7 linked regions of the Mus musculus genome follow. The protein of the gene in region 3 interacts with the protein of the main gene of each other region in a pairwise test. Links are inferred from orthologs where the notes say so. Each region holds a gene or a part of one and is shown on either strand. Other genes may lie near its edges.

Region 1 (3,820 bases), on a different chromosome or scaffold from region 3:
TCCATTGCCACATGGAATCCAACTTAGACCTCTGGTTCCCCAAGATCAAAACCTCAAGTTTTATCACCAATTACCTATCACAAATTACCAACCAACATTACTGAGTGTTCACTGAATATTACATCAAATACTATCTATGTTCACCACACAGAAAAGGCTCAAACCTACCAGCCAGGCCAGCTGACATGCACTGGTTAGTCCTGCTAGCACTACGGAGGTGGACAGTGTCAGAAAGGGGGTTAGGGTGCTTCCGAAAGCCCAGCCTAGAAAGGAGGCAGAATCTGCCCTAACATTTTCTGTAATTACTCTAAACTGCTAATCACTAATCGCTAATGGCTAACAGCCAGGCAGCGACTGTCGTTGTTGTCGTCGTCGCCCCACCCCCCCACCCCGTGACTTGTTTTTATAGAACTCTCCTCCCTCTGCTCCCCTCCCCCATTTCATTTCCTCTCCTCTCCTCCCCTCCTCTCCTGTCCCCTTCCCTCCGTCTAAGCATTTCAAGTATCAGGAGCTGTCTGGGGCAGAGAAGCCTTTCTGCCTAAATCTAAAGTACATTGACAAATATCCAGGTACTTGGTAGAAGTGGGACACATGAGTGTGGCAGGCAAGACAGTAGCCGTGTGTTTGTTACAGGGGCACAGCAGCATTTCACATACTATTCTCTGGTGTGGAGAATAGGGAACCGCACCTCTGCCATGACATCAGAACTATGGCTAAGGAGGTAGACAATAAGAGATGATGCTTTCTTTTATCATAGCATTTATCCAAATTGTCTTTAACTGCTACAGATTGTACACGCGCATGCACACACACACACACACACACACACACACACACAATTTACACCTTTTCCTTTCCTTACACAAGTTTGTTGAAAAGCAGAAACTTAAACGTAGTCCTTTTTGCTGTTTGGTATTTTTTCTCTTCTGTCAGTGTCTTGTCTTAGTAAGAGTTCCCAGCACACAGCAACATGCCAGGCTTTTCCCTGGGTGCTGGGAATCTAACTCAGGTCATTATGTTCACATTACTATTTCTGTGATGAGACACCATGATCGAAAGCAACTTGGGGAGGATAAGGTTTATTTGCCTGGCACTTCCACATCACTATGTATCATCAAATGAAATCAGAACAAAAACTCAAACCAAGCTGGAACCTGGAGGCAGGAGCCAATGCAGAGGCCATGGACAGGTGTGGCATGCTAGCTTACTCTTCATGGCTTGCTCACAGGATGCTTTCTTATAGCACCCAAGACCACCAGACCAGGGACAGCACCACCAATAATGGGCACCCTCCACATTGGCACTTATTACGAAAATGCCCTACAGGCCTGCCTCCAGCCTGTTCTCATGGAGGCATTTTCTTCAATTGAGGTCCCCCCTTAGATGACTCTAGCTGCTTATGTCATGTTGATGCGAAACTATCAAGCACAGCCAGTGACTATGTAGTTATATGTACTCGTGTGTGTGTGTGTGTGTGTGTGTGTGTGTGTGTGTGTGTGTGTGTGTGTGTGCATAGCCACATGGAGGCCAGAGGTCATCCTTGGATGCTATTCCCCAAGCACTGTCTACCTTGCATCTTGGAACAGGATCTCCCACTAGGACATGAGGTTCACTGATTAGGATAACAGAGTGGCTGGTGAGCTCCCCATGTCTCTACCTCATGGTGCTAGAGTTCCCAGCACACAGCAACATGCCAGGCTTTTCCCTGGGTGCTGGGAATCTAACTCAGGTCATTATGTTCACATTGCAGACTCTTTGCTGATTGAAACATCTCCCCAGTCCCGTGACAGCTACTGTGAGCCTTGGTCTCTATTCACTTCTGAACCCCACCTCCCAGAGAACATCATCTCCAATAATCACAACAAGCTTTTTCCCCTTGGTGGAGTGACCGTTTCCCACAATAGAGAGGCAGAAAGCAAGACTTGCATTATCAGGTAGCTAACCCAAATTGCTCAGAAGCCACTGTCTGTGTGAGAAAGCCCCCACTAAGCTGCACCTCAAAGGGTGGGCTGGAATGTGGGACGTGAAGTAACGTTACTTCCCATTACTACAGCCTCCATGTACTCAGAGATCCAGAGGGAGCGGGCTGACATCGAGGGACTCATGGCCAGACCAGAGTACAGAGAGTGGAACTCAGAGCTCATCAAACCCAAGAAGCTGCTGAACCCTGTGAAGGCTTCTCGGAGCCATCAGGAGCTGCACCGTGAGCTGCTTATGAACCACAAAAGGTAGGGTGGCATCCAGCTGGCTGGCTTAGAAAAATGCTTCTTAGAGGGGCTGACCTAGCCATTGCCTGGAACCCCAACAGGGTCACCAGAAGAAACTGTGTGAACCTGAAAGCCCTACCCATTTGCTGTGTGCTTAGATGCCCTACTGTGTGCAGGGCACCATGCCCACACCTAAGATACAAAAGACGGAGACCCAGTTTCTGCCCTCCCCAGGGGAAAAGAAAGTTGCTGGAAGCTTTAAGTGAATGTGGGACCCCAGAGGGGCTACTGGGATAGGGGGACTATCTATATGACATCATGGAAGAGAGGATATCTAGAAGGCCTAAAGCAGGGGCAAGAGCCAACCCTGCTGAGAGATGGGTCGTGTTGGCAGAGAAAACTGGAGAGAGAGCACATAAATATTGTAGAGGGTTCAGGTAGTGATGGCTCTTTCTCAGCCACACCCTCTGTTGGGGGAGAGCATGGCAGTGAAACACAAGAGTCGGGGGTGGGGGGAATGGGCTATGACACATCTGTGATCAGCAATCACAGGATGTCAAGTGTAGGAGAGGGTGGCTGAGGGGCCCTTGAGAGGCTAGAGGCTAGAGGCCGAAGCTTATGGTACCTTCATGGCGCCCTCTGCCGGCTGGTTGTTGTATTGGAGCTGGACGTGATTTCCATTCTAAGTCATGCGACAGATACCGCTGGCACATGGAGCTGATTTTGGGTTTGTTTTCTACTAATATTATAATATTGTCATGTTCTCAGTTGTTTTTGCGATAATCATTCATTTCAGTATCAAAAGTACCACCACGATGGAAAACAGCTTCAGGCAAACTGAAATATTTGCAATATAAATAAATTCTATTGAAAATTACATATACAGTATGAAATATTCATATATTCGTGTACCTTAGTCTACCAGGAAAGGGTAAGCAAAATGAGTGGGATTCATATGCAAATGGGAAAATGTGAATGCTAGAAACACTTTAAAGTTCATTACATGTGACTGGTAATTAAGGAAACATGAAAACCAGGCATTGTTTTTTGTCTCCTAGACTTAAAAGAGTTGGCTTGTAAAATGGGGGTAAATATATATTTTTGTAAGGAAATTAAATCCCATGAGATTTTAAGAGAGCGAAGGCCAGCATTTCCGCCATCAGAAGCTCTAGTAAAATATCCAGCAACCATGTGATACCTGGTCTCTGTCTGCAGCCGGGTCTGAAATTCTCACTCACCTGTTGTACTGCACCTGCCCTGCTGTGTTGTGGGAGGGGGGCCTCTTTGCCTTTCTATATAGCACGGGGCAGTGAGATCGCCCCCTTCCGGTGTTTCCCAAACGCTCTAAGAGATAATACAGGGACTGTGTCCCAGGCTAGGAAAGAGTCTCCTCACTGTTCTCCTTACCCGCAGGGGCTTGGGTATGGACAGCAAGCCTGAGCTGCAGCGAGTTCTAGAGCACCGTCGCAGGAATCAGCTGATCAAAAAGAAGGAGGAGGAGCTAGAGGCCAAGCGGATGCAGTGCCCCTTCAAGCAGGAGCTGCTGAGGCGGCAGCAGAGACTGAACCAGGTGGGTGGGAAGCGTCCAGCTTCCGTCTGAGCCTCCTCCAAGA
Region 2 (3,820 bases), on a different chromosome or scaffold from region 3:
GGTTAAATAAGTGAAACCAGCCACTGTTATACCCTGAAGCAGAGATTAGAAATTTTATTATTACTTTTTAGTTTAGTTTTTCAAACTCAGGGCGATTCTCACATTAAACAAATTAACTACTTAACTACTTCAAAGGTCCTTGCTGTAGCACATGGTTTACATCTCAACATCTTCTGCAGCAACTTAAGAATCTGCTTTTAGAAAGAGGAGAAGGCCTCACTGATTCTCACCATGTAGTCTGTCTTACAGTTGCTAACACCCATGTTTCCCTCCTACCTCACCACCCAAGATGAACTCTTGATCATTTGCAATTAACTCTTCATCCCATCCTCCTTTGGATTCCAATTCCAAACTCTGGGATTATAGGAAGGGGTGGGTGTGGGTGTGGGTGGTGTCTCTCACAATGTAGTCCTAGCTGGCCTGAAACCCACTATGCAAACTTGACTGACTCACAGAGATCTTCCTGCCTCAGCCTTCCGAACGCTAGCAATAACGACGTACACCTCCGCACTTGGCTCACTTCACGGCTGACCTTTTTTATTGGCCTCTGAGCTCTAGAGCCTTAATTAAGGTTAATAAGATGGTTCTTGCTGTGATGATCTAAGGTCAATTTCTGGGACCCATCTGGTGAGAGGAGAGAATGGACTTTCACAGCTTGTTCTTTGGTCTATACAGACCCACCACGTGACACGTATCTGTGCCTCCACTTCCAAACAAACAAATGTAAAAAAAAAAAAAAAAAATTGAAGGAAAAAAAAAACCTGGGTGGTGGTGGGGCACACCTTTAATCCCAGCACAAGAAATGCAGAGGCTCATTTGAGTTGGAGATCAGCCTGGTCTACAAAGTGACTGCCAGGGCTACACAGAGAAACCCTATCTTGGGGGTAGGGGTGGGAGTACTCAAAAATAAATATATGAAGAGAATAAAAATAAATAAATAAAACCTTAAATTATGTTCAGTCTGCCATTATCAAGCTTGTGAGTCCTACAAGTAAATTGGAGACCTAGGGAGTACGAAAGACCTCATTTTTCGAAGTATTTCTTCTTGAACATAAAGGATGGTTTATTCTGTTAGAAAAAGAGATAACAGGAATGATTCTTTCTCTGTAGTTGTTTGTTATGCTAGAGACTAAGACTCATGCATGCTAAGCAAGGGTTTACCCAGACACCTTATTTTATGAGACTGCTATGCATACGCACACAATAAATCTTTACATTTTTCCTGTTCACTGCCAGTTTGCTCCAGAGATTCAAAATCACTCAAACTTTAGAGAGAAGAGGAAAAGTTGTAACTGCCTTGCCTTACAGTTTAGCAGATCAGTCAGGAGCCTAAGACACTGGGCTTGATCCATGGTCTACGACTGGGAAATCATGGGACATGACAAAAATTAGTAAATGGGAAATACAAAAGATGAAAGAACTCTGATAGGGGTAGGCGCCGATCCTTGTGAAAGCTTGTTTATTTATTGCTACCTGGAGGCCTAATTTTAGCAGGCATGTACAAGGCCCTCAGCTCAATCCTTAGCAGAAAAACAAAAAGAATAATGTTTTGAGGGGAAAAAAAGAAGGGGAGGAACATGATAAACGCTGCAAGTCAACAAAACCAGTGGACTGTACATTAGAAAACAAGTGACAGCTAACTCTCCATAGAGCAGTGGTCATCACACTCCTCTAACGCTGTCATTAGCACACAGAACCACATGGTCAATGCTAACAGAAGCACTAAACTCAGCTCACCCTGGTACGCAGCATCGGTGGCCTTCCTTTTTACTTCAGCCTCTTCCTCTTCCAATTTCTTTTTCCTAAAAAAGGAAAAGAATTGAGCTACATCAGCCAGCTCGAGCTCCTCTCCATAGTTCACAACACACTCATAAAAAAGTATTCTGACACACTGGCAGAGCACAAATGGAACCTACATTGCAATGTCATTGCAGAGCTCATCCAGTCTGCTGTCCATGTGCCCGGCTTGGATTAGTTCTGCATCTCTTTTCAGACGCCTATAGAAACAAAGAGGCAGACATCAGTCCTCTTCACAGTAAGTTTCTGGGTTATTGAGACAGGGCCCTCCTCTAGTTGGGCTCAAACTTAATGAAAATTTTCTGTTTTGGTCTGCCAAATGTTGGGATTACAGGCATGAGCTACCATACTCTTTTTTTTTGTTTGTTTGTTTTTCAAGACAGGGTTCTCTGTGTAGCCCTGGGTGTCCTGGAACTCACTGTGTAGACCAGGCCTCGAACTCAGAAATCCACCTGCCTCTGCCCCCCAAGTGCTGGGATTAAAGGTGTGCGCCACCACACCCAGCGCTACCATAATCTTTTATTACTTTATTAGTGTGTGTGTGTGTGTGTGTGTGTGTGTGTGTGTGTGTGTGTACAAGTACAGGTGGACACATTTCACAGCACATGAGGTCACAGGCCATCTCCTACCACCTGGGTCCCTTCCATCTCTGCCACTGAGTTGTCTAATCACCACCTACTATAAACCACATTTAGAGCTTTTTACTTGTGGTCTCAAGTTACCGTTTCATTTCAAACTCCTGAGTAGCTGCTGTAGACATACCATGCATGCATCCAGCATTTTAACTACATTCCCCACCTTCCCTCCTTCCCTCCCTTCTTTCCTTTCCTCCCTCCCTCCCTCTCTTCTCCTCCTCCCCTTCTTTGTTTTTTTTTAGGATTTATTTATTATATGTAAGTACACTGTAGCTGTCTTCAGACACCCCAGAAGAGATTCAGTTATCATTACAGATGGTTGTGAGCCACCATGTGGTTGCTGGGATTTGAACTCAGGGCCTTTGGAAGAGCAGTTGGTGCTCTTAACCACTGAGCCATCTCTCCAGCCCTCTTTTTTGTATTTTAAAAACAAGTTTCTCTGTGTAGCCCTGACTGTCCTAGAACTCACTGAGGACCAGGCTAGTTTTGAACTTAAGAGATCTGCCTGCCTCTGCCTCCTAGGTGCTAGGATTAAAAGGGTTAAAAGGGCCACCAGAGGGTGATGGACTCTAGCTTAGTTTACAGACAGAGTTCAGGCCAGCCCAGGACTATACAGTGAGACCCTGTCACTCATAAACACCAACTTAATCTTGTATGTACCAGAAGTCAGCTTTTTATGTCTGTCCAATGCCCCTCCCAAATCACCTGATAACTACCTGTATCTCTCCTGTGTCTCCTTTATGACTTTCTTCAGTTCTTCAACTCTCTCAGCAGTCAGTTTGCGAACAATAACATCTTCAACAGTTTCTACCACTTCTCCTTTTTCACCCCGTTTCCGTCTGTGGAAAACAAAAAATAAATCCAAATTTAAGTAAGAGGACATTTGTTTCCACTTGTATTCTTTGAGCCTTTCTACCATGTAATCATAACATCTGCTATACTTTTCTCACCCAGTAAGATATATTTCCACAGTGAACCCTTCCTGACCAAACAGATGTACCTGGGTTTATACTCACTTTGGAGTCTCAGTAGTCTCTAAGAGCTCAGAATACTGAGAAGCACAATGCTATAAAAGAAAGAAAGAAAGAAAAATGTGATAAGCAAGCTCGGAAACAAACTTTCAGAGTTTCAACAAAGAGTAATAAGTCTCAGTGAGGATATCTATTCACGATTGTGTCGTTAGCTGGCCGTGGTGGGAAGCAGAGGCAAAGGATCTCTGAGTTTAAGGTTGGCCTGGTCTACATAGTGAGTTCTATGACCACCAGAGATACATAGTGAAACCCTACCTACCTCTAAAGAGACTCACTGTGTGTCTAGGGCTGGGAAGGTGGCTTAGTGGGTAAATAACCTGAACTCAATTCCCAGAACCCAGGATGAAACTGATTGCT
Region 3 (3,820 bases):
CGTCCATCAGCTGCTCCACATCAGAGAAGTCCAAGGTCTGGTCTTCAAACTCAGGTTGTGCAGAGAGCTCCACATCAGTTTTGGTTTTCAGGAATTTCCCCAGTCTGTTGGTATAAAAAGACACGCCCAGCGGTTGGTTGGGGAGTTGGATCAGCAGCTAGGAGCACTGGATAAGCCGGGCAGTGGTGGCGCACACCTTTAATCCCAGCACTTGGGAGGCAGAGACAGGTGGATTTCTGAGTTCGAGGCCAGCCTGTTCTACAGAGTGAATTTGAGGACAGCCAAGGCTACACAGAGAAACCATGTCTTGAAAAAAAATCAAAACAAAACAAAAGGCAGCACTGGGTGCTCTTCCAGAGGTCTTAGGTTCAATTCCTAGCACCCACACGGCAGTTCACAACCCTCTGTGTCTCCAATTCCAGGGGATGTGACACCCTCTTCTGACCTCTGTGGACAGCAGTACACACAGGGTGCACAGACATACATGCAGGCAAAATACTCATACATGTTTTTTAAAAGCACACATTCATACAAAGATGGAGGGGCTTTCTTCTTAGGGTACATTTGTAGTGCTGGGTCATTAGGAAGGAATGAAGAGGCCTCTTTGTTAAACTTGTATTTCCTCACGTTTGTGGATTCTGGTATCTGATTTGGTGGGCCTGGAGGTTACAGTTTTAAAGTTTTGTTGCTTTGGCAAATCCCTGAGACAAGCAGCTGAAAGGGAGGGAATGTCTACTTAGTAGCTGCTCACAGTTTCAGTCCACGATCAGCTGCCTCTATTGTTCTTGGCCCTGTGGTGGAAGCATGGTGGTGGCAGGGAGCACAAAATGGAGGAAAGTTTCTCATTTTGGGGCAGCCAGGAAAGCAGAGAGAGAGATAAGAAGAAAGGGTCCAGGGACAAGACATATCCTTCAAAGGATTCTCATTCATAAGACCAGAGCTCTACCCGTCCAATCCTTTCTCCAGATCTCTGCTTGAGAACATATCCTCCAACCCATGAGCCTTTTAGAGAACACTTCCTACCCAAGACATCTATCATTGTCTCAGCCTTCCCAGGGGAAGAGGAAGGGCTGAGCCTAAGGGCGGGTAGAGTCCATCCCATGCTTTCTCCACGCCCACGTGTTCTTGGGGCTTCTACCCTGAAGACTTACACTCCACAGTGTCACGGGCCCTCCCTCGCGGTGGGGCTCTGGAGGCTCTCCATCAGCGGTTCTCAATCTTCCAAATGCTTGCCACCCTTTAGTACAGTTCTGCATGCAGTGGTGACCCACAACTATAAAATTATTTTCATTGCTATTTCATAACTGTAATTTTGCTACTGAGCGGTGTCTCGGTTCCTAAGACCGTCGGAAATACGTGTTTTCTGATGGTTGTGACCCACAGGTTGAGAACCACTGCTTTAGCTGTGATTGCTCCCGGGCAGTCATAAGGCTTCTAAGTAGCAAAGGCAGATTTGAAATCCAGGCCCATTTTTTGCCAAAACATATGTACTTAGGCCCTCATAGTCTTAAGTTCCCCATGTGGCTTCACAGACCCTGTCGTATGTTCCCACAGAAGCACCTGTTTGTAAATAGGAAAGGTGGGGCTTTGGGCTTGGAATCACTATGGTAGCAGGATTTACGCTCCACCGTATCTGACTTTAAAACGAACATGCTTTCTGCCTCAACATGACCAAGGGCTGAGGAGGGCATGTTCCAGTCCCCATCTCTCCCAATAAAACAAAGTTCTTGTGTGTGTGAGGGGGACCTGAGCACAGGCTTGCTGGATGGACTTCACCAACCGTGTTCCCTTCCAGCCCAGTGATCCTAAGTGTCAACACTAAAGGGGCCTACTGACACCACACCGCCATTCCAAAGCCAGCACTGTTTTACTTATAGGGTCACCGAAGCTGAAAAGGGAAGCCATAACCCAGTGAGACTGAGTCTAGAGGCGAAAAGAAAGGAGAAAAGAAACGAGGTCAGGACGGAAATATTACCTGTCAGTCATAGCCACTGCATCCTGAAAAGAGAGAGAAAACAGTAGACCGATTTAGGACATAGTTTTCCCAACAATATAATAATGTAAACATTTTTAACTGGAAATTAGGGAAAGGGGGAAGTCACCCTAATGAATCTACCATACTTGTGCATTTCCTTCCATTCTCCCTGCACCTTCCACGCCACACAGGGTCTTTTGGACCTCTGACTCCTTAACAGTTCCTCTGCTGTAGGACACCGTGGCTGTCTGCATGTTCTCATTATTATAAGTAATGCGCCTTTTTCTATGTTCTGAATGTGAGATACAATGGCACCCTGGGGCCACGGGCTCAAGAGGTTGAGCACTGGTGTTTCTCGTGGCTCCTGCCACATTGCTCTCTATCTTTATGTGTGGATCTCTCACCATGATCACAGTGGGAAGGATGGATGACTGGGCTTTGAGGAGCAGCTGAGGGTTGGACTGTGATGAGGTCAAACTCAGCATCGATTCTGAAGACCCCTCCTCAACCCTTTGTGAAACCAACCACATCTGCCCCATGGGATCATGGGACCCTGTGAGATCACTGAGGTGGAAATTCCCCTCACTCTGCTATATGGGGTTTGGGTCAGATTTCATATGACTTAAATATAATTAAGAAATGGATTTGGGGCATATGTATGAAGTTATAAAGCAAGATTATATAACTGCCACCCTTGGCACAGAACAATTTAAAGTAGCTTACTGATGTGGGCCAGCTTTCCCTGAGAGAGCCAAGAGGCAGCTAGGAAACTCTCGGGACACTGCCCTTGCTCCACTCCATGACCGAGGGACAGTCAACAACCAAGGGTCTGAGGGACAAAGCTTGGAACTCCCTGGGGACTGGCGAGGAAAGGACCAGTGGTGTCTGCCTGTCTGGCCACCAACGAAGTGACGAGGAGAGATTAAGGGACAGCCTCCCACCATGAACCACAGATAGTCAACTCAGCGCTCCAGGAGAGAGGGTAGGCTAGCCCACCCCCACCCGAGGCTAGACCTGGAATCTCATCTCATGGTTTCATGGCTTTCTTTCCTGATTCGTCACGGACCTTTAAGAACTCCACCTTTTCCTCATGACACATCTCCTCTACGGTTTCCATCAGCTCCCTGCAGGCATCGAGGTTCTCTCCACAGCTGACCAGTTGTCCGTATAAGGCTTCCAGTTTCTCTCTCTTTTTCTCCCCCAGAGCTTGAATTTTTTCTTCATACTTTTGAGCGAGGGTTTCCAAGATCCCATTGTAATGGCACTCAAAGTTTTGTTCCTGTCTTCCAAAATTCTCCTGCAAGACAGCGGACCTCAACCATCATTTCAGTGGATGGGATAGGTTGGCCAGAGTCACCGGGGACATGAAACCCTGACCTGTTCATCTTGTCACATTACTCTGTCTCTCAGAAGTGTGCTGCAGTGAATGCTGAGGACTCCTTCTTAGGTCCCCAGGCACAATCACTAATTAATTAACTAACTAATGCATATGAACATGTATGTGCACATACATGTCTGTGCATGTAGAAGCCAGGGGACAACCTCAGAGGTACCATCCACAGGGTCTCTCGCTGGCATGAAGCATGCCAGATAAAGGAAGGCTGGCTGGCCAGCAAGCCCCAGAGATGCTCCTGTCTCTGCCTCATGGCACTGGGATTGCAAGCATGCATCTCTCACGCACTTTTCTATGTGGGTGCTTAGGGGTCAAACTCAAGCCCTCAGGCTTCACCAGCTGAGATGTGTGCTCAGTCGCCCTACCCACACCCCAAATATTCTTACCAGAAAGCACTCCTGTCTTTCCTGACAGCTATTGCAATCCTCTCCCTGTTTTCACTACCTCTCATC
Region 4 (4,442 bases), on a different chromosome or scaffold from region 3:
CTCACGTTTCCCGATGGTGTCTTCCACTTCCCTTCCTGATTTCTCAGTTGCCAGGGGACTTCCCTACCTTGCACTATGTCAGCAGGCTGGCATCTGTCTTCTCTAAGACTCTTTCCCAGGCGTAACTGGGATTACAGGCACTCACTGTTACACCCTGCTCTTTTGGTGCGGGCTTTTTCCGTGAGTGTTTGGTACATTGCACAGGGAGTCTGAGGCGTCTGCATATCTGAATTGGTTATGTGGAGGCTCCAGAGGCATCTCTGTCCCTGAGAATGGCAGGATTTCCTTTAACTGGAGGCTAGCAATGACTTGCCACAGTTCCTTACAATCTGTCTCCTAACATGCCCCTCTGACAGAATGACACCCCAGGACACTGGGGGAAAGACACAGACGAAACAGAAGTAAGAATGCTCATTCACACAGAGCCGAATGTCCACAGGGGCTGGAGAGCCGGCTCGGGGTGCTAAGAGCGCTTGCTGATCTTGCAAAGAACCTGAGTTCAGTTCCCAGCCCCCCACATTCAAAGGCTGACAGCTGCCTGTCACTCCAACTACAGAGGATCCTTCACCCTCTTTTGGCCTCCAAGTATGAATGCTCACACACAATCATACACACATAAATAAAGTCTTTGTTGTTGTTTTTTCCAGACAAGTTTTTCTCTATGCAGCCCTAACTGTCCTGAAACTCAATCTCTAGACCAGGGTTGGGGCCTTGAACTCAGGGATCTGCCTACCTTTGACTCTCTAGTGCTGGGATTAAAGGCAGACCATACTAAGCTCAAAAATAAAATTCTTAGGGCTGGAGAGTTGGAGCAGAGGTTAAGAGTTCTTTAGGGGCTGGAGAGATGGCTCAGCAGGTAAGAGCTCTGACTGCTCTTCCAAAGGTCCTGAGTTCAATTCCTAGCAACCACACGGTGTCTCACAACCATCTGTAATAGGATCTGATACCCTCTTCCGGTGTGTATAGGAGTACAATGTACTCCTATAAATAAAACTAAATAAACCTTAAAAAAAATTTTTTTTAATAGTCTTAAAACACACATTGACACCAGGCGTGGTGGCGCACACCTTTAATCCCAGTACTCGGGAGGCAGAGGCAGGCAGATTTCTGAGTTCGAGACCAGCCTGGTCTACAGAGCGAGTTCCAGGACAGCCAGGGTTATACAGAGACACCATGTCTTGAAAAAACAAACAAACAAAAAACCAACAAAAAACAAAAAAAAAAAAACAAATAAAACCACATTCACAGAGCATAGCCAGCTCCAGTTGCACATTCCTGTAAAGGCCTGCTTAACTACTCCAAAAGGAGCCAGTATGCCTCTGGAGAACTGGGTCAGCATGTCTAAGCTGCACGTCATTTTGCTTTAAAACAGCTTTTGCAGAACTTATCCCCTCCCTTAAGACATTTACATTCCTTATGTAATGAGAATTTAAGTCCAAACATCTATTCTCACTAACCCCAACGCATGTGGTCTATGCGTCGTAGGGGCCAACAATGGCCTATAGAAAAACCACACAAGTTATAGAACCAGGGGCTGAAATGAAGGCATGCGTGTATGAAGGACCATGTGTCAGTCTGAGGAAGAGGTGATTGGCAGATCCCTACCTGCCTCTCCGCCCTAGCCCCTGCCCATCTCCACAGAAATCCTGTCCCCACGTGGTCACTGTCGACCTCTGAGCATCTAGCCGTCTCTCTAAGACATCTTGGCTGGCCGGAGATTGGACCAAGGGAACGTCTGAAGCCCAGGTCGGGGCCATTCTTGGCAGAGTTGGAAGGGGCCGAGCTTGGAAGTGGGAGGGAGGAACCAGCCCAGCAAAACCTGAGGGGGTCACAAGAATAAAGACTGTCAGATTCTGAGAGAGGGGGAGAGGGAAGAGGGAGATGATCCTGGTCTCCTTGACTAGCCTCACTGACCTGACGGTGGCAACATCTTCCTGTTATATGAATCCTGTAGCTCTTGTCTCCAGTCACCTATGTTCCCCTGGACAATAGGAGAAACAAGGATACTTCAATTCAATTTTTCAGGCCACCTTCCAAAGAAAAAGCCCTATAAAAACAAAGTCATAATCCTTAAGTTACTGACAGGTCTATCGGGCTGTACGCTTCTCTTTTCCTACTTCCCTAAGGCACACGGTAACCAAACCACTTGCTTGTCCCAACTACGCTCCTGATAGAATGAACCAGGCAACAACCCTAAGGTAAATTTACTGAGACGAGGCTTCCTTCTACTTACAGGAATGTGGGTGGTGTGCCTTTACCTTCCTCCTTAAGTGTCTACGGTCCCTGCAGCTCAGGACTCTCTGGACACAGTATAAGGAGCCCACTCTCCACAGTCCTTGCCATGGAATGGTAGGGCCGTTGGGAAGCCCATCTAGGCACCATCGAGCCAGGATTTCTGAGTCATTTCCTATTAAAGAGTTAGCCCAAGGCCTGGTCCGGGAAGAATGAGGCCACATGTGGGGTTAAGCGTCTTCCCTAGGATCCCTGAGGAATCGGAGCAGCCGGGAGCCCGTTGCTGGGAAGCCAGCTTCCTGGCAACTCATCTGGGCCTCTCTGTAACGGGCCTCAGTTGCTCTCTATCCCCTCGGCTTCCATTCCCGATGCATCTCTCTTCGGAGTCCTACAGCATCTTCTTTCCCCCACTTCCATCAGAATTCAAGTTTTTGGGTTTTTTTTTTTTTCACTCAACCCCCGCGATTCCTACCCGTTTCTCTTCCTAGACCTAGTATGAGTCTTTTTCGATGGAATTATCTTGGTCGCTCCCTGTCCTGTCTCCCCCACTTCTCTCCCGCACACACCCCGGGCTAATCCCCGTCAGGACCCTGAACTCTGAGGCTGTCTTGACCTCCTCATCTATCCTTTGACCCAGCTCCTGCACCCCTCTTGCCCTGTGGATCCCCTCCGCCCCCCTTGCGCCCCCTCTCAGACTCTTCCCGCCCCCAACTGACTCTCCCCGAACGCCCCTTACCCAGCGCGAGATCCGCCCTCTTGCCACGCCCCTTACACCTAGCACCCAGTCTAGACGCCACACCCAGATCACGCATGCGCGGGGCGGCGGGCTGCTCTACAGCTCCATTTCTCCCTACCGGAAATAGGAAGAAGAAAGGTGCAAGCAGGCACCCTGACGCCCCAAACTTTCTCCGCGCCCTGACGGCCCCTCCTCTCCCCGGGAACCCGGGAAAACGTGCCGGCCAATCAGAAGTGGCGGAGAGCGGGAGATGAGCAACTCCCCCCTGCGCATCGGCCAATAGAGCAAATGGGTGCAACTCAGATGGCCAATCAGAAGCAGCCGGCGGGGGGGCGGGCTCGCGGGCGCGAAGTCGGACCCGGGAATTCCGAAGGAGGAGTCTGCGCAGCGCGCGCGCGCGCCTTCACCCAAGCCCCGCCTTCGGGGCGGCTTCCTTGGCTGTCAAACCTCGGCGGGAGCGCGGGACGCAGGGTACGGAATCCCTTCCTCAGTTTACCCCGCGAGCGAAAAAAAGAAAGGGTGAGATCCACTTTGTTACAGAATTAGGGACCCGTCTGCGCCGCCCTTTGCGGGTGACAGTGGATTCACTTCCCTTAGGGGAACTGATCCGAAGAGCGGGGGTGGGGGGGAAAGATGGAAGGGGTGCGCTACTTGGATTAGAAAGTTTAACCATAAATTCCCTGACTCCAGGTTACACTTAGGGAGAAGACCCGTGTCACACGCACGTTTGTGTACCAGGGCCCCTTCACCCCCTCTGCCTGTTCCCAGTTGCGGTTTAAACTAGCTTTGCCTTGCACAGATTGTCGGAGGCTCCCGGATGTTGAGCCGCCTGAGGATCCGGCTTCACTGAGGTGCCACAAGACGTCTTCCTGGTTTTGCATCGCATCAGGACTTTACTGGAATTGCTTTTTAAACCTCATCTTGACAGCCTCTGTCTTGGTGCATATCCAGGCCTCTGGCGCTCTGAATCTGCACTGCTTAAGTTGGCATTAGGCACAATACTTAGCTGTTGACATCAGAGAGAACTGAATTGAAGCCCACGGTGCATGACCCAGGAGTAGGAGAGGGAATGGACTTCTGAGGTGGGCAAAGTGGTGCAGAGGGGGCACCCCCCATGCTGCCCTGTTTCCAGCTGCTGCGTATAGGGGGCGGCAGGGGCGGTGACCTCTACACCTTCCACCCCCCGTCCAAGTCTGGCTGCACCTATCGATTGGGCTGCAGGGCCGACCTGTGTGATGTGGCCCTGCGGCCCCAGCAGGAGCCCGGCCTCATCTCTGGAGTCCATGCGGAATTGCATGCTGAACTCCAAGGGGACGACTGGAGGGTCAGCCTGGAGGATCACAGCAGCCAAGGTAAGCAATGAGCAGAAGAGCCCCAGACAGGCATGAGTAAGAGGAGCCTCTGGGACCCTGCTACCTGCCTCCCAGAGTCCTAGTCTGGTGAGCAGTCTTGGTTCCGTCTTGTCTGCTCACAC
Region 5 (4,454 bases), on a different chromosome or scaffold from region 3:
ACTTTTGAAGCCTGGTAGTTAATTCCTTTTCTCTGAAGTCACTCTGTTGATTCTCTATGAAGATAAATTTGAACACATATAAATATATTATCTTGCAATAGAAATAATATATGGAAAAAGCTGGAAATTCATTTTTTATCATAAATACCTATTATGTAATAAAGAAAAATTGAACTGATTCTGATGTAAACCTGGCATGGAAAGATTTCCTTCCCACTCCTTGAAGCACTTTCTATATAATACAAAATATAAACTAAAGTAACAGACACCAGGAAGACGCCTTACCACGTTGGTGGTCTTATCAGTGATGTCACTCACTGGGTGCTGGCTGGATTCTATTGTAGGCTACTCTTAGAAGTGTAACGCTAGTTTGAAAAGTGAATTTTGGAAAATGTTTTTGCACAATTAAGAGTAATCTCAGTCCTGTCTCTTAATCTGGATACTTAGTTGTACAGTGGAGAATTGTGATTTGAGCTTTGGTAGGGCTACCATCAGAGATCTTAGCTGCTTTGTGGTCTGGCCGCCTAGAGGATCATGGAACTTTCTGTTTCCTTTTCTCTTTCGAAAAAAAAAAAAAAAAATAAGCCAGATGAGCCAATTCCATAGGATTAGGGTAGTTACACATTGATAAAGTACCCTCCGTTCATAGATAGCTTGATTTGTAACACACAAAATATTAACTTTTAATGTTTCATATGTTATTGCAAATACTGCTTCTCTGTCACATGGATAATTGTCATATGAATATGACAAGTCTGGTCTATGTTAATACAGACAGTCAGCACAGGGAGGGTTTAGTCAAGGACATCCTACATCTATGACAGTGATCCTGTAAGAGTATAGTAGAGCTAAAAGTTCCTGTCAGCCAGGACACACGTAGCTGCAGAGGGAAGACAACACCAAGTGACAGACTTCACAGAGCCATTTGCAAAGCTCAACGAGCTCCTTAAATACTTTAAAAACTTGAGACCAAATATCACATGGATTTTTTATCAATGGAAAGGAATGCTCATGTGCACCAGTCACTTATAAATCAAACTCAAGATGACAGAAATAAGTAAGCTACTGTCTGCGGGTGTGTGTGTGTGTGTGTGTGTGTGTGTGTGTGTGTGTGGAGCCTCCTGCAGGTGCTCACTACAGAAGGCGTTATGGAGAAGGAACTGCGTCTGCCGGGGAGGATAGCTCCATATATGTACCCTAAAGCACTTCCATGGGATGAAATGTGGATGCAGAAGACAGTCATGGGATGTGGTCCTGTGAATCAACCCTGAAGATTGTGGGATTGTGTCTTCGTTTCTATAGAAAGTTTGTGAAAACTAAAACCAGAAAAAAGCTGATAAAATTTAAAAAAAAGTTTGCATCACTGTAATAATAAATGTTAAATGGCTCTAAAAACTACAGTTTATAAAATAAAAAAAAAGTTAAAGTATGAATAAGATATTTTAAAATAGGTTTAGTGTAGCTTCGTCCAGGTCACTTACATTCCCTAACTCATAGCAAAATTGACTTACTGACTTGCTTTGGACCTGTAAGCTCTAGTTACAAAAAGCATTCTTTTACTGGCATTCTATTTGTTGAAAATCTTTTATGCCATAATTTACTCTGTCTCCTTTGTGTGTAGACACACCAGTAGTTGCCATCGTGTTAAAACTGCCTACCATATTCTATACCTTGTACATGTTCACACTCCAAAGTACCATCTAGGTTGCATAAGCTGATTCTGGTATGCTCACCCAAGAATGAACTTTCTTAAGTTTCTCAGGACCTATGTTGTTTGTTAAGATACAGTTGCCTCCAGACTTAGTCAGGGCTTAGTCACAGACCTTTGACAATGGCAACACACTTTTGCTGCTTCACAATGAATAAGCATATTCTGCTGCTTTGGGGAAGGCATAAATTCACAGTCCTGACCACCATTTCTTTACTCAAAGCCTGTCCTGCCTCCCCCCCCCTCTATTTCATTCTTAGTTCCCAACTCCCCCACCCCACGCCCCTTTCCCAGTTCTTGTCACATATTTTCCCCCTAACTCATAGTCCCTAAATTTCAAACACATCTTCTGGGCTGAAAAATCTAAATCTGTCTTTTCATATTCAAATTTTAAGCATTAGTGCCAAACTGCTATGCATTTATTTCGCATCGCTATAGCAAAACCCAACACATTTAAAATTAAACTTAGATCCTTGCCTGTACAGCCTATCTTATATCTGAAATGTCTCAAAAGTTGAACTTTAAAAGTTTCGTTGCACGCGCCCTAAATCCCTGGAGAACCAGGCGTTCGAGAACAGCCTGGTATACAAAGTGAGTTCCAGGACAGTCAGAACTACAATGTCTCAAAAACAAAATAAAACAAAATCTCAGTATCATCATAGCAATTATATATAGCTAAGAGCTAATTAAAACCTTAGTCTACTTTCTTACTAGTATGTCCCACTACAAACAATACTGTTATAGAAGCCTGGGGTTTCATTCCTTTAACTTTTCAAAGAATGCCTATAGATTGCTGACCATTAGGCCTAATATGGCCTACATAAAAAATGGTGAATTTTATTAATTTTAAATAACATAAGTGCCATCTTTCTGACGACTCAACCACAAATCACCTATGGACGGCCGCCTACACCTGAATTTTTACCACTGGGCACGGCCTCGAGCGCGCTGCCCAAGACACCTCAGGGCCCTAGTGGCGTCGCCTGCAGCCCAGGCTGGGATCCCGGAGGGAAAGCGTTCCCCGGGCTCCGCGCGGGAATGCTCGGCGAAATGCCGTCCCGGCGGGCACTCCACCAACCCGAGCATCCCAGCGAGCCTGGCGCCCCAGGTCACACATTGTTTCCAGCTCCCCGAAGTTAAAGCGATTAGCAGGCCCTGCGGGACGAGGCCTGCCTTACCGCGGCGGGAAGGGTGCAGAGATCGTCACCATTCCCCGCTGCTATCACCACCGCAGGTCTAGGCGTCCGCGCACAGCCGCCCGAAAACCAGGTAGTAGAGAATGCTTGGGACTCACGACCCATTCCATCTTACCTCGGTGAGGGGCAGCTTCTAACTCGCCAGGGAAGAAGGTTGGGGCTTCCGCCCCGAGCACTGCCTCTGGCTCCGCCCACACCATATGTCCCGCCCCGGCCTCCGGGGCGGGTCCCACGTAGAGGCTCCTCCCTTTGGGCCCGTCCCCTCCTTTGGCCGCTTACTCTGGTCCCCTCTCACGGCCCCGCCCTCAAGTCCCTCCCTTTCTCTGCCCCTCTCCTCCCCAGCCCTCCCTCCTGAGCTGCTCCCATTCTGAGACACCGCCCCCAGGGCGCGCACTCTCCTAGCAGACCTGCCCTATGGATACACCCCAAGGGAGACTAGGAGTTCCCGGACCCCGACCCTCCCCTACAAGGCCATTCCCAAGAGACTTTTCGCCGGGTTCCTGTTTCCGCGGTGTGTCAGGATGAGCCAAAAGTGTGTCTGTCATGACACTGGACCTCTAGACCTCTGTAACTTGCTTCAGATGCTCCCAGAAGGCAACAAGAGAATGAGGCTCTAGTACACCAGCTGGCCTCTCCCAGTTAACTTGTGGAAAGGGCTTGTGTGGAACTCTGCAGTTGTTTGGAAACCTGAGCAGAAATTTCACATTTCCACCCTCATTCCACATCTACTCTGCACCTGCTTGATTTGGAGCTTCTAGGAGGAGGACACATTCATTAACTCTTTTCAATGTCCATTTTTTTCTCCCCTCTTCCCTCAATAAAAGTTGAACTGTGTCAGGGTTTCTGGTTAATCATTTACAGCAGTTCTCAACTTCATCCAATTTAACCAGCAAGTGTACTTTGTTCAGAAAATTAAATATTACAAGCAGTTTTTAAAACCAGTATTTAGGCTGCTAGGTTGTGGATACTATGTATAACCTGTAAGATTGTCTGGTTTAATAATCACGCAGCCTGTGCATTTGCAACAAACTGTCAGAAGGACCCAGTGCCTGCTCTGTGTGTATAGGCTCTCCATCTTAGTTTTGCTGGGGGACTTGCAAGTTATGTGGCTAGTCAGGCTAAAAAACAAGTAGGTGAGCTGAGCTCAGTGGAATATAACCTGTGTGGATGAGCTGCCACGCAGAACGTTGCTTTTCTGTGTCATGTGGCAGGCATTTGTGTACCTGTTTAATGGTTAACCAAAGAATGTTATTTTGAGAAAGCATTAAGGTAAATTCTTAAAATTATTATTATTAACAGAGTCTTAAATGTAATTCTGGCTAGCCTGGAACTTACTACGTAGACCGGCTGGTCTTGAACTCAGAAATCCCCCTACCTTTGTCTCCCGAATGCTGGGATTAAAGGTATACTCTATCACTCCCAAGCTAACTACTTTTAAATGTAATTTATTGGAAAGGTAATTTTTTTTCAAACTGAGTTTCACAACTGAAGTTATGAAAGATTACCCAAGTCTGCAAATTCTTTCTAATTGTTAAATGCTTGAACAAAGT
Region 6 (4,258 bases), on a different chromosome or scaffold from region 3:
GGTTATACAGAGAGAAATCTGAAAAAAAAAATCACACAAACACACACACACACACACACACAAAGCTAATGGAAGGGAAAGCCATTCACGCACCCTGATCCCAGAAATTGGGAAAGGGGAATACCTGACTGACTTCTGACCAATGCTTTTATGTGCTCCACTCGCTGTCTTTGAAGGCTACTGAAAGCTCTTAGTGCCTCTCATTCAGGTTCCCATTGCCCTTGTTTGAGGAGAGAGGCCAATTGACCCAGCATTTGATATTTAGAATCTCTTTTCTCCACAAAATCTAAGCTTGCTGCACTTGAAATGTTATACAAACATGGCTGCCTGGACTGAATATAAAGATTTGTACCCAGGAACCATGCCAATGTCTGCACAGGGTGATCCAGACATTGATGGTGAGCCCCAGACATCGGCAGAAGAGGACCTGATAGAAGCTGGATTGGGATTTTCTGGTTGCATCCTTTCTCATCAAGGAGGACCAGGCAGCAACCCTTGGTGTCTCTGAGCAGCCAGTACAGGAAGACCTGATTCAGAGACAGAGCTCATCCACTTAGTGCAGTAGGAAGAGCAGGGTGCCCAGGTGAGTTCCCAGACAGCTACATCAGTGGACTACCATAGTTCCGCCCATCTCATGATCACTGGTTCATAGGGTCTCATCCCTACTTAATCTAGTGTTTGGCATGGAATCAGACACCCAGTGCTCAGTGTGTGCGGTGGACACAAATGTGCTGCCTGACGTCTTTTCATGAGGGAAGTGTGACGTGATCAGTAAGTGGCCTCCATTTCCAGCCCCGTAAGGGTTCCTCTAGAATCTCCCTAAGACTGGGGGGCAATCATAGGGTTTTGCCCTAGACTGATCATCTCTTCTTCTATTATGGGCCTTTCCTTCCTTAAGTATAGGTTCCAAGAGTGAGACTCAAAAACAGCATCCCATATCTCTTGTAGGATCTGGGAGTCCCATTGGCCTATGGTCCTGTGGAGCCAGGTAATGAGAGATTAACCTCATAGGCATATGTCATGGGAAGAGTGGCCATTGAGATGACAGCCAAGTCGCCACTGTGGCCTATGGGCTTCACATGGTATGGACACATGCCCCCCCCCCCCCCCAATGCCCTGTTCTGGCTGCTGCTGGAAGGTACTAGAAAGGTCTGTCCTCCCTGTCTAGGCTGCCTTCTAGAAGGTCACTCTCCTTCCTTCACAGTCCAAAGGCGAGCCGGTGTTATGAACACTCAATCCCTCTGTGGTTTGAGGCGCATGCCTACATACTTGTATTCATCTGTGTATCACCAGGTCCAGGTTGGTTGAGAGATGTCTGGGAGCAGAGGAGCAGAGGAGCAGATGAGGAAGAAGGACGTTCCTTGGCTTTGTGGCGCCGCCTCTTTAAGGGTAACGACATCACAAGGCTGTGGAAGGCCAGGCAGCGTGGAACTCCGTGGCCTTAGGCTGTTTCTGTGGGGTCTTCGGGCTCTGTATTTCCATCTCCATGGGGCCACAGGCCCATGTGTGAGTACCTGACACCATGGCAGAGGGTAGCGAACTGATGAGCAGGCTCATGAGTGAGAACGCAGACCTGAAGAAGCAGGTGCGCCTCCTGAAGGAGAACCAGATGCTGAAGAGACTGCTCAGTGAGAGTTGCCAGGAGAGCTGTGGTCGAGGGAGCCGGGACCTACTCTATCCCAAGGTCCCTACCTACCCTGAGGCCTGCTCCCCAGGGAATGGAGGTGAGGTGCAGGCTTAGCCAGGACAGGGCAGCTCTACCTGGGAAGGGTTGTAGGGTTTAGATTGGCTGGTGGCTATGCTGGTTGGTAATGTCTCAAAGCACAGCCACCTGGCTTAAAACAGGCAGGGTGTGATTCCAGGGCTCCAGGCTGCTGGTGTCCTTTCAGTGCTCTTACCCACTGAGCCATCCTGCCAGCCCTAGTCTTGCACTTTCACATGTAAAAGGCAGTTTCCCCAGAACCATTTGTTGACGAGATTCTCTTTTCTCAGAATTTTTAGGTTTTGGTTTATGGGCCCACTTTGGTTTTCTGCTTCTAACCGAACTGTTGGACACCGGTTCCAAGAAAACATTATTCATGTTTCTAGCTGGTGTACAACCAGCTGTACGTAAAGCTCTTTGGTGCTTTGAAGGGTATATAGATAGACAGGCCTTCAAGGACTGATGTGTCTTACAAGGGCAGACAGGGAGGTGTAGCATCTTGCGGGTAAGGTGTTATGCATTGTTCTTATAAAACACTTTTGGGAGAGAGCAGTGGTTCCTGCCTATGTATATTTTAAGGTATGATTTTTGATAGGTTCTAAAAAACACTTTCTCAAGTATGCTTGCTTTCTTGCTAAGGGAACCAGCTTTTAGGAAGTAGATAGGGACTTGCAAAGTCAAAGAATGGCTAGATAAGTTACATTTGATGGGGACCGAGAAAAAACCACGGCAGTCCAAGATGCACACACCGGAGCTTAGGAGGGGCTCCATCAAGAGCAGGGAAGCACACCCAGTTGCTGACCGCAACAAATAGTTTTTTTTTTTTCAAGTACTGAGCTTTGAGCTCAGGGTCTAGCCCATCTAAGCAAGCGTCCTACCCCTGAGCCACCACACTGAGCCATCGCTTTGCAGTCATGATGAAATGAGGTGGAAAGTTGTTGGCTGGGCGCATGGGCCAGCGGACAGAGGGACCAGGTGATTCACGGGTGGCTGGATATGGGTAAATCCGAAAAGATTTACATTGCGAAAAAACTTAGCAGGACGGCGCCGTGTGTGATGAGTTTGAAAAGCATGTGGACATCACTCTAGTGAGTGTGGTTGTGAGCCCGCGGAGGAGTACATGTTTACTGTTGAGTTCAGGAGGCAGGGAGGCACTCCCTCTATCTCCAGATGAAATGCCAGGGGGGAGGGGGAGGGGCACCGCTCTGGTTGGGAGCCGTACTTAGCACCCACAACCTTGCTTCCAGATGTGTCTATGAGTACCACCAGTCTGACTTATGGCCCTTTTCTGCTCCATCCCAGGTCCAGATTTTGGAAGGTTTGCCGGTGTCCCTGACACGCCCTCCCAGCTACCGACATCCTCTCTGGAGGACCTACTATGCTCCCACGCCCCACTCTCCAGTGAGGACGAAGCCTCCCCAGGCTGTGCAACCACCTCTCAGATGCCTTTCAAGTCCTTCCTCAGCCCTTCAGAACTACACTCGCGGATTGCAGACAGGAAGCTGTCCCCGCTCCTGAGTCCCTTGCAGGACTCCCTGGCTGACAAAACACTGCTTGAGCCCAGGGAAATCTCGAGACCTAAGAAGGTGTGCTTCTCGGAGAGTAACCTCCCCACTGGGGATAGGAGCAGGAGGACCTATTACCTCAATGGTATGGTACACACAGGTAGCCCTGGGTGGGGAAACCACGTTTTAGAGACTTGGCTCTGGCTAGCTTCTCCAGTGGTGAAGAGTGGGAGGAGCGCTAGGGTGGGCCTGGGTCCAGGATTAGGTCTGTCTTGGCCTTTTGAAAAAAATGTGGAGATGCTCATCCTTGATATTTAGCTGAAAAAACATTTTTTCATGCGGTTCCATATCTAAGTCCTTCTGGGTTTATGTTCCTTAGGTATTGCCTCCCAGTCTGAGAGTTTCCCACTGTTTACTGTTTGGGCGCAGGGTGAAACTTGAATATAGTCGTGTAGAATTTCCTGATAGCTTTCTTTTACAGTTTGTGCTTTTGGGGATCTACTTTAGGAAGTCTCTGTGAAGGCCAAGGTTATAGATGCTCTTTAATCTTTTAGAGGTCTCGTAGCTTTAGGTTTTGGATTTAGGTCTCTGACTAGGACCAAGTGTTTGGGGTTTTGTCTGTGGTGTGAGGTTTGCTTGTAGAAGCTATTCCAGCGCCAACTCTTGAAAAGATGGCTCCTCCTCATGGCATGGCCTCAACGTCTTCCTGCCTGTGGAGCCGGTCTCAAATCCAGTCAGAAAGTGGTTGGTTACTCCTATAAAATTCATGCTGTTATGGTATCAGAATAATAATATTCTGTTTGGCAGGTCAGCATTATAGCATTTCCACTGCTAGGGAGGAGGGGTGATAGCTCCCCTAGCAATTTACATAGCATTGTCTACTGCTATAAAAGCTGCTAGCATTGGGGCAGCTTCCAGCTTGGTTCTCAATTCCTGGGCTTTTAGTACCCACAACTTTGCAAAATGACTAAGAAAGAAACACACTGAAAGGCGTAAAACTTTCAATAGCCAAGAACAGTTATAATCGTGGATTAGAGGACTTAGTATTGTT
Region 7 (3,820 bases), on a different chromosome or scaffold from region 3:
ACACAGTGGGAAGACTGGTAGAAAATGACACTGGACATGTAAGGGAAGAACTTCTAAGTGGAATGAAGATGTTTGAGATTTAGCCTAGGGCTGTGGATCCAAATACCCACAAATACTCCTCCACCAGCCCCCAACCATGAGGCTCATTTGTAGTCTTTCTTAACAAGGGGAATAAACATTAAAATATCAACTTAAAATGTATTTTTCAAGGAATAGTTTCCTACCTGCCAAGCCTTGGGTTCAGGTTTCTGGGGTCCCCCTGCTACAATTGATGAAACCACTAACACCTAAAGCAGTATAAGGAATGCAAGTGATGTGATTAACTATAATGAACGATACACAGAAGCCTGAACGCAGGACTTTCACTGCAGGACTTCTAAATGCATTTCTAAATAGGTCAGTTCAAATAGTGAAAATCAGTTTCTAAAATATGGCTTTAAGAAGTAACTAACACATCTAATAGAAGGTACACTTTGAGTTACAACACCTGCAAAATTTAAGGAGTTATAGTATGAAAAAAAAAAAAGTCCACCCTCAACAGAAAAAAAGTGACCCCATTAGGTTTATAGCTTAAGATTTGTCACTGTGAATAAATTGAAAAAATATGTATTACTTTGTTTTGTAATCTCATATGGTACCAAACCTATGTGAAAATATAGAGTAAGAGTAGCCTACAAATCTAACGAGAAAAAACAGCCCAAATACCAAATGTGGAATCTGCGTCAAAGAAATTACTTTTAGTGTGGTTAGAGGTGACAAATTCTTACCCTCTGGACTTTTGTACTGTTAGGTTGAGAAAAATGGGTGTTTTCCTTTGTATCTAAATGTTTCTTTTCTTCAGAGGAGTTAGGTCCAACCCTTGAATTATTGGAAGGTAGGGAACTTGGTGGCATAATTTCCTTGATAAAAAAACATAAAACACAAAAAATTCCAATTTTATGAGAACTTGGTTCTATTACCATGTCAGTGATATTTTTTGTTAAGCATATCCACTTAATTATTTATAAAGAAATCTGATAATTCAACATATTAGGAACAATGTTTGAAGTTCATCTTTTCCCATTAACAATGATGGTTAAGACTATAGATTACTATAAAGTGTTTTGACATATAAAATTACAGGGCATAAATTTTTTTAAAAGGTTTGTTTGTTTATTTATTAATTATGTATAAGTACACTATTTATTTATTAATTATGTATAAGTACACTATAGCTGTCTTCAGACACTCCAGAAGAGGGCATCAGATTCTGTTACGGATGGTTGTGAGCCACCATGTGGTTGCTGGGATTTTGAATTCAGGACCTTTAGAAGAGCAGTCGGCACTCTTAACCACTGAACCATCTCACCAGCTCCCATAGAGCATAAAAATTATGCAATTAAAAACCAAATCAGGGATTAGAGAGAGATGGCTTTTTGTAGAGGTTAAGAGCATGTACTGTTCTTACAGTGGAACCAAGTTTGGTTCTTAGCAGCTCACAACTGAGCTCTTCTCCCAACCCCTCCAAACACTCACACACACAAACTTTATTGAATTAAACCTTAAAAAAAACACTAAATTGATTTAACATCAATTAAAATAATCTTTCACAAAAGACAGCTAATTAATGTGAAAATTATAAGCTTGTGCGTGGACAGCATTTTGAGAGTACAACTGCATCAAGGGTTATACTGTCCCTTTCCACTTTCCATACAAATACTTACAAGGTTACACCAATAAGCATATGTCCAGGTAGATAGGACTGAGAGTTATCAAAGTCATGTTGGGGGAAGTGATCATGTGCAGAAAAAGCACACACAGAATGAACTTACTTTACCACATTAACACTCAATCAAAAGCATTTATAAAGGCTGTCTATGCACGCTTTTTGTCATTCATTAATGGCTGAACCAGTGATATACACCTTATAATAGCAAACTCATGACTACCCATTATAAGATCACAAAATGAAGACAAATACAGGATAAATTTACTTATCTAAAGTCCAGCATTAGAAAACATAGTCACTGGGTGGTGGTGCACACTTTTAGTCCCAGAACTTGTAAAGCAGAGGCAGGCAGAACTCTGAGTTCAAGGTCAGCCTGGTCTAAGAGTGAGTTTCAGGATAGCCAAGGCTACACTGAGGAATTCTGTCTTCAAAAAACAAAAACCAAGCCAAACCAAAACAGATAGTCTAGTATCTATAGTATTAAGCATGTCCAATAGTCAGAACAATTATCAAAGTCCTGGATTTGATTCTGAGTACCACAAAAAGAAAAAAAATATTATATGCATGTAATACAGGAGCCTCTGTATTAATACATTAAAAAAATAAAACAAGACAAACAAAACTCTTTCTCTTAGACAAAACCAGAAAAATAAGCACTATTACATACCTCTTCTTGTGGGACACTTTTCTCATTTTCAGCCTCAATCCTCACCCTCACAACTCCTGACTTGTCCACGATCTCTTGAATCAGCTTTCCATTTTTTCCTATTACTTTGCCTAAAATAAATAATTCATGTTTGACTCGAGGACATCACTCAAATCGTACAAGCACACTCCACTATAAACTATCTTACACATTCAAATACATATACATACTGGATTATAAGATTCAAAACAGAAGCTTTTTAAAAAAATAGTTTAATTATAAATTATTCTCGTTGATTAGGTCATTTTTAAACTCATTTGGTCAGATACTACAGCTGATTAATACTTGTGAACTGATTGGGTAATTCTGAAAATTTAAAGGTAACTCAAAGAGAACCCCTTATCTCACATAAGACCGTATACTTTAAACTAACTGGTACTGTGGTATTTAGCACTCTGTAAAGCTCTACAAAAGGAATTAAGGAAAAGAAGGATAATAAATGTATTTGCTTACTTGACAATTTCAATTCTCATCTAGCTTTGATTCACATTTCCTCATATATACATAGGAACTATTTTTAGAATTATGTATGACACATTTGAAAATATGCTCTTAAGTTTCAGGAGCTTAGAAAGCTATCTAAATATCTAAAAGGAACAAAAATTCTTCAAGCCAATGTTAATAACAGAATATTAGTTCTATGCATTGGTCACAATGTAGAGTAGCATACATATTCATAGGTAAAGCACACTTTCAGATAACTCCAAAACTACCATGAAAAGGCTTATACGTATTCTTTAGTAACATCTGTTGAAATTCAGAAAAATCTAGTAGTAGTTCTAAATAGCAATTGTTTGCCCCACTGTGCAAAATTCAATTATATATAAAACTAGGACATGGCTGCTTTCATAGCCACTATCATACATGAGTGTAAAGCAAGAATTTACAAATTAAGCACTACTAATTCTAGAAACCTACACATGAGGCAAACCAGATTCTAGGGGGACTTAAGCACTTAGATAAGCCATGGGTGAAATGCTTCTATATGCTCATTTTGCCTCCTCAGCGCAGGCAAATTGATGAAAAGAGAGAAGTTGCTTCCTAGCTACTTTAAATAACAAACTAGCAAAAGGTCTTGCAGAAGGACTCATAGTTCTTATAATCAGAGCCACAGTTTTGACATTATTGCTGTGTGTGGCTTTCATACTCTTCCACCTTGAGCTCTTTGGTCAGTGGTAGAAAACAAAACTCATGCCACTAAACCAGGATTTCTAATCTAAAAATCTCATTATGTCTGTTCTATTCTTCTTCAAATGAAATGAAGAACGTACAAAAATCCCTACCTGGAGTATTCTCAGAGTTTGTTTTTTTTTTTTTTTCTGTAAAATCCTTACATAACCATGAAAGTTGATTTTAATAAAGATGCAAATTAGCATAAAGAAAAGTAGGACTTTAGCATGTTTCTA

Evidence for each region.
Region 1: the proteins of Fsd2 (region 3) and Fam107a interact in binary tests that used the Homo sapiens proteins (3 or more experiments, as listed by UniProt). The two-hybrid records come from large-scale screens. The link is inferred for Mus musculus from reciprocal best matches to the Homo sapiens genes FSD2 and FAM107A.
Region 2: the proteins of Fsd2 (region 3) and Brd8 interact in binary tests that used the Homo sapiens proteins (3 or more experiments, as listed by UniProt). The two-hybrid records come from large-scale screens. The link is inferred for Mus musculus from reciprocal best matches to the Homo sapiens genes FSD2 and BRD8.
Region 4: the proteins of Fsd2 (region 3) and Cchcr1 interact in binary tests that used the Homo sapiens proteins (3 or more experiments, as listed by UniProt). The link is inferred for Mus musculus from reciprocal best matches to the Homo sapiens genes FSD2 and CCHCR1.
Region 5: the proteins of Fsd2 (region 3) and Esd interact in binary tests that used the Homo sapiens proteins (3 or more experiments, as listed by UniProt). The two-hybrid records come from large-scale screens. The link is inferred for Mus musculus from reciprocal best matches to the Homo sapiens genes FSD2 and ESD.
Region 6: the proteins of Fsd2 (region 3) and Spatc1l interact in binary tests that used the Homo sapiens proteins (3 or more experiments, as listed by UniProt). The two-hybrid records come from large-scale screens. The link is inferred for Mus musculus from reciprocal best matches to the Homo sapiens genes FSD2 and SPATC1L.
Region 7: the proteins of Fsd2 (region 3) and Fmr1 interact in binary tests that used the Homo sapiens proteins (3 or more experiments, as listed by UniProt). The link is inferred for Mus musculus from reciprocal best matches to the Homo sapiens genes FSD2 and FMR1.

Annotation. Positions count from the first base shown.
Region 1 is NC_000080.6:8,299,467-8,303,286, reverse strand, and holds part of Fam107a (actin-associated protein FAM107A), read left to right. Parts: intron 1-1,750; exon of another isoform or gene 1,751-1,934; intron 1,935-2,053; coding exon of another isoform or gene 2,054-2,058; coding exon 2,059-2,228; intron 2,229-3,620; coding exon 3,621-3,777; intron 3,778-3,820. UniProt on the Homo sapiens protein: Stress-inducible actin-binding protein that plays a role in synaptic and cognitive functions by modulating actin filamentous (F-actin) dynamics. Mediates polymerization of globular actin to F-actin. Also binds to, stabilizes and bundles F-actin.
Region 2 is NC_000084.6:34,611,300-34,615,119, forward strand, and holds part of Brd8 (bromodomain-containing protein 8), read right to left. Parts: intron 3,499-3,820; coding exon 3,449-3,498; intron 3,272-3,448; coding exon 3,149-3,271; intron 1,998-3,148; coding exon 1,917-1,997; intron 1,803-1,916; coding exon 1,738-1,802; intron 1,732-1,737; exon of another isoform or gene 454-1,731; intron 192-453; exon of another isoform or gene 77-191; intron 1-76. UniProt on the Homo sapiens protein: May act as a coactivator during transcriptional activation by hormone-activated nuclear receptors (NR). Isoform 2 stimulates transcriptional activation by AR/DHTR, ESR1/NR3A1, RXRA/NR2B1 and THRB/ERBA2.
Region 3 is NC_000073.6:81,549,922-81,553,741, forward strand, and holds part of Fsd2 (fibronectin type III and SPRY domain-containing protein 2), read right to left. Parts: intron 3,273-3,820; coding exon 3,042-3,272; intron 1,999-3,041; coding exon 1,976-1,998; intron 105-1,975; coding exon 1-104.
Region 4 is NC_000083.6:35,515,756-35,520,197, reverse strand, and holds the start of Cchcr1 (coiled-coil alpha-helical rod protein 1), read right to left. Parts: upstream 2,946-4,442; 5' UTR 2,457-2,945; coding exon 2,259-2,456; exon of another isoform or gene 2,234-2,258; intron 2,048-2,233; exon of another isoform or gene 1,982-2,047; coding exon 1,915-1,981; intron 1,820-1,914; coding exon 1,606-1,819; intron 1,057-1,605; exon of another isoform or gene 6-1,056; intron 1-5. Other genes in the region: Tcf19 (transcription factor 19-like protein), read left to right, coding at 4,083-4,320. UniProt on the Homo sapiens protein: May be a regulator of keratinocyte proliferation or differentiation.
Region 5 is NC_000080.6:74,730,954-74,735,407, reverse strand, and holds the start of Esd (S-formylglutathione hydrolase), read right to left. Parts: upstream 3,112-4,454; 5' UTR 3,020-3,111; exon of another isoform or gene 2,919-3,019; coding exon of another isoform or gene 2,887-2,918; intron 1-2,886.
Region 6 is NC_000076.6:76,560,844-76,565,101, forward strand, and holds the start of Spatc1l (speriolin-like protein), read left to right. Parts: upstream 1-1,428; 5' UTR 1,429-1,502; coding exon of another isoform or gene 1,503-1,506; 5' UTR 1,507-1,522; coding exon 1,523-1,724; intron 1,725-3,004; coding exon 3,005-3,352; intron 3,353-3,921; exon of another isoform or gene 3,922-3,962; intron 3,963-4,258.
Region 7 is NC_000086.7:68,702,328-68,706,147, reverse strand, and holds part of Fmr1 (synaptic functional regulator FMR1), read right to left. Parts: intron 2,486-3,820; coding exon 2,376-2,485; intron 900-2,375; coding exon 768-899; intron 288-767; coding exon 225-287; intron 1-224.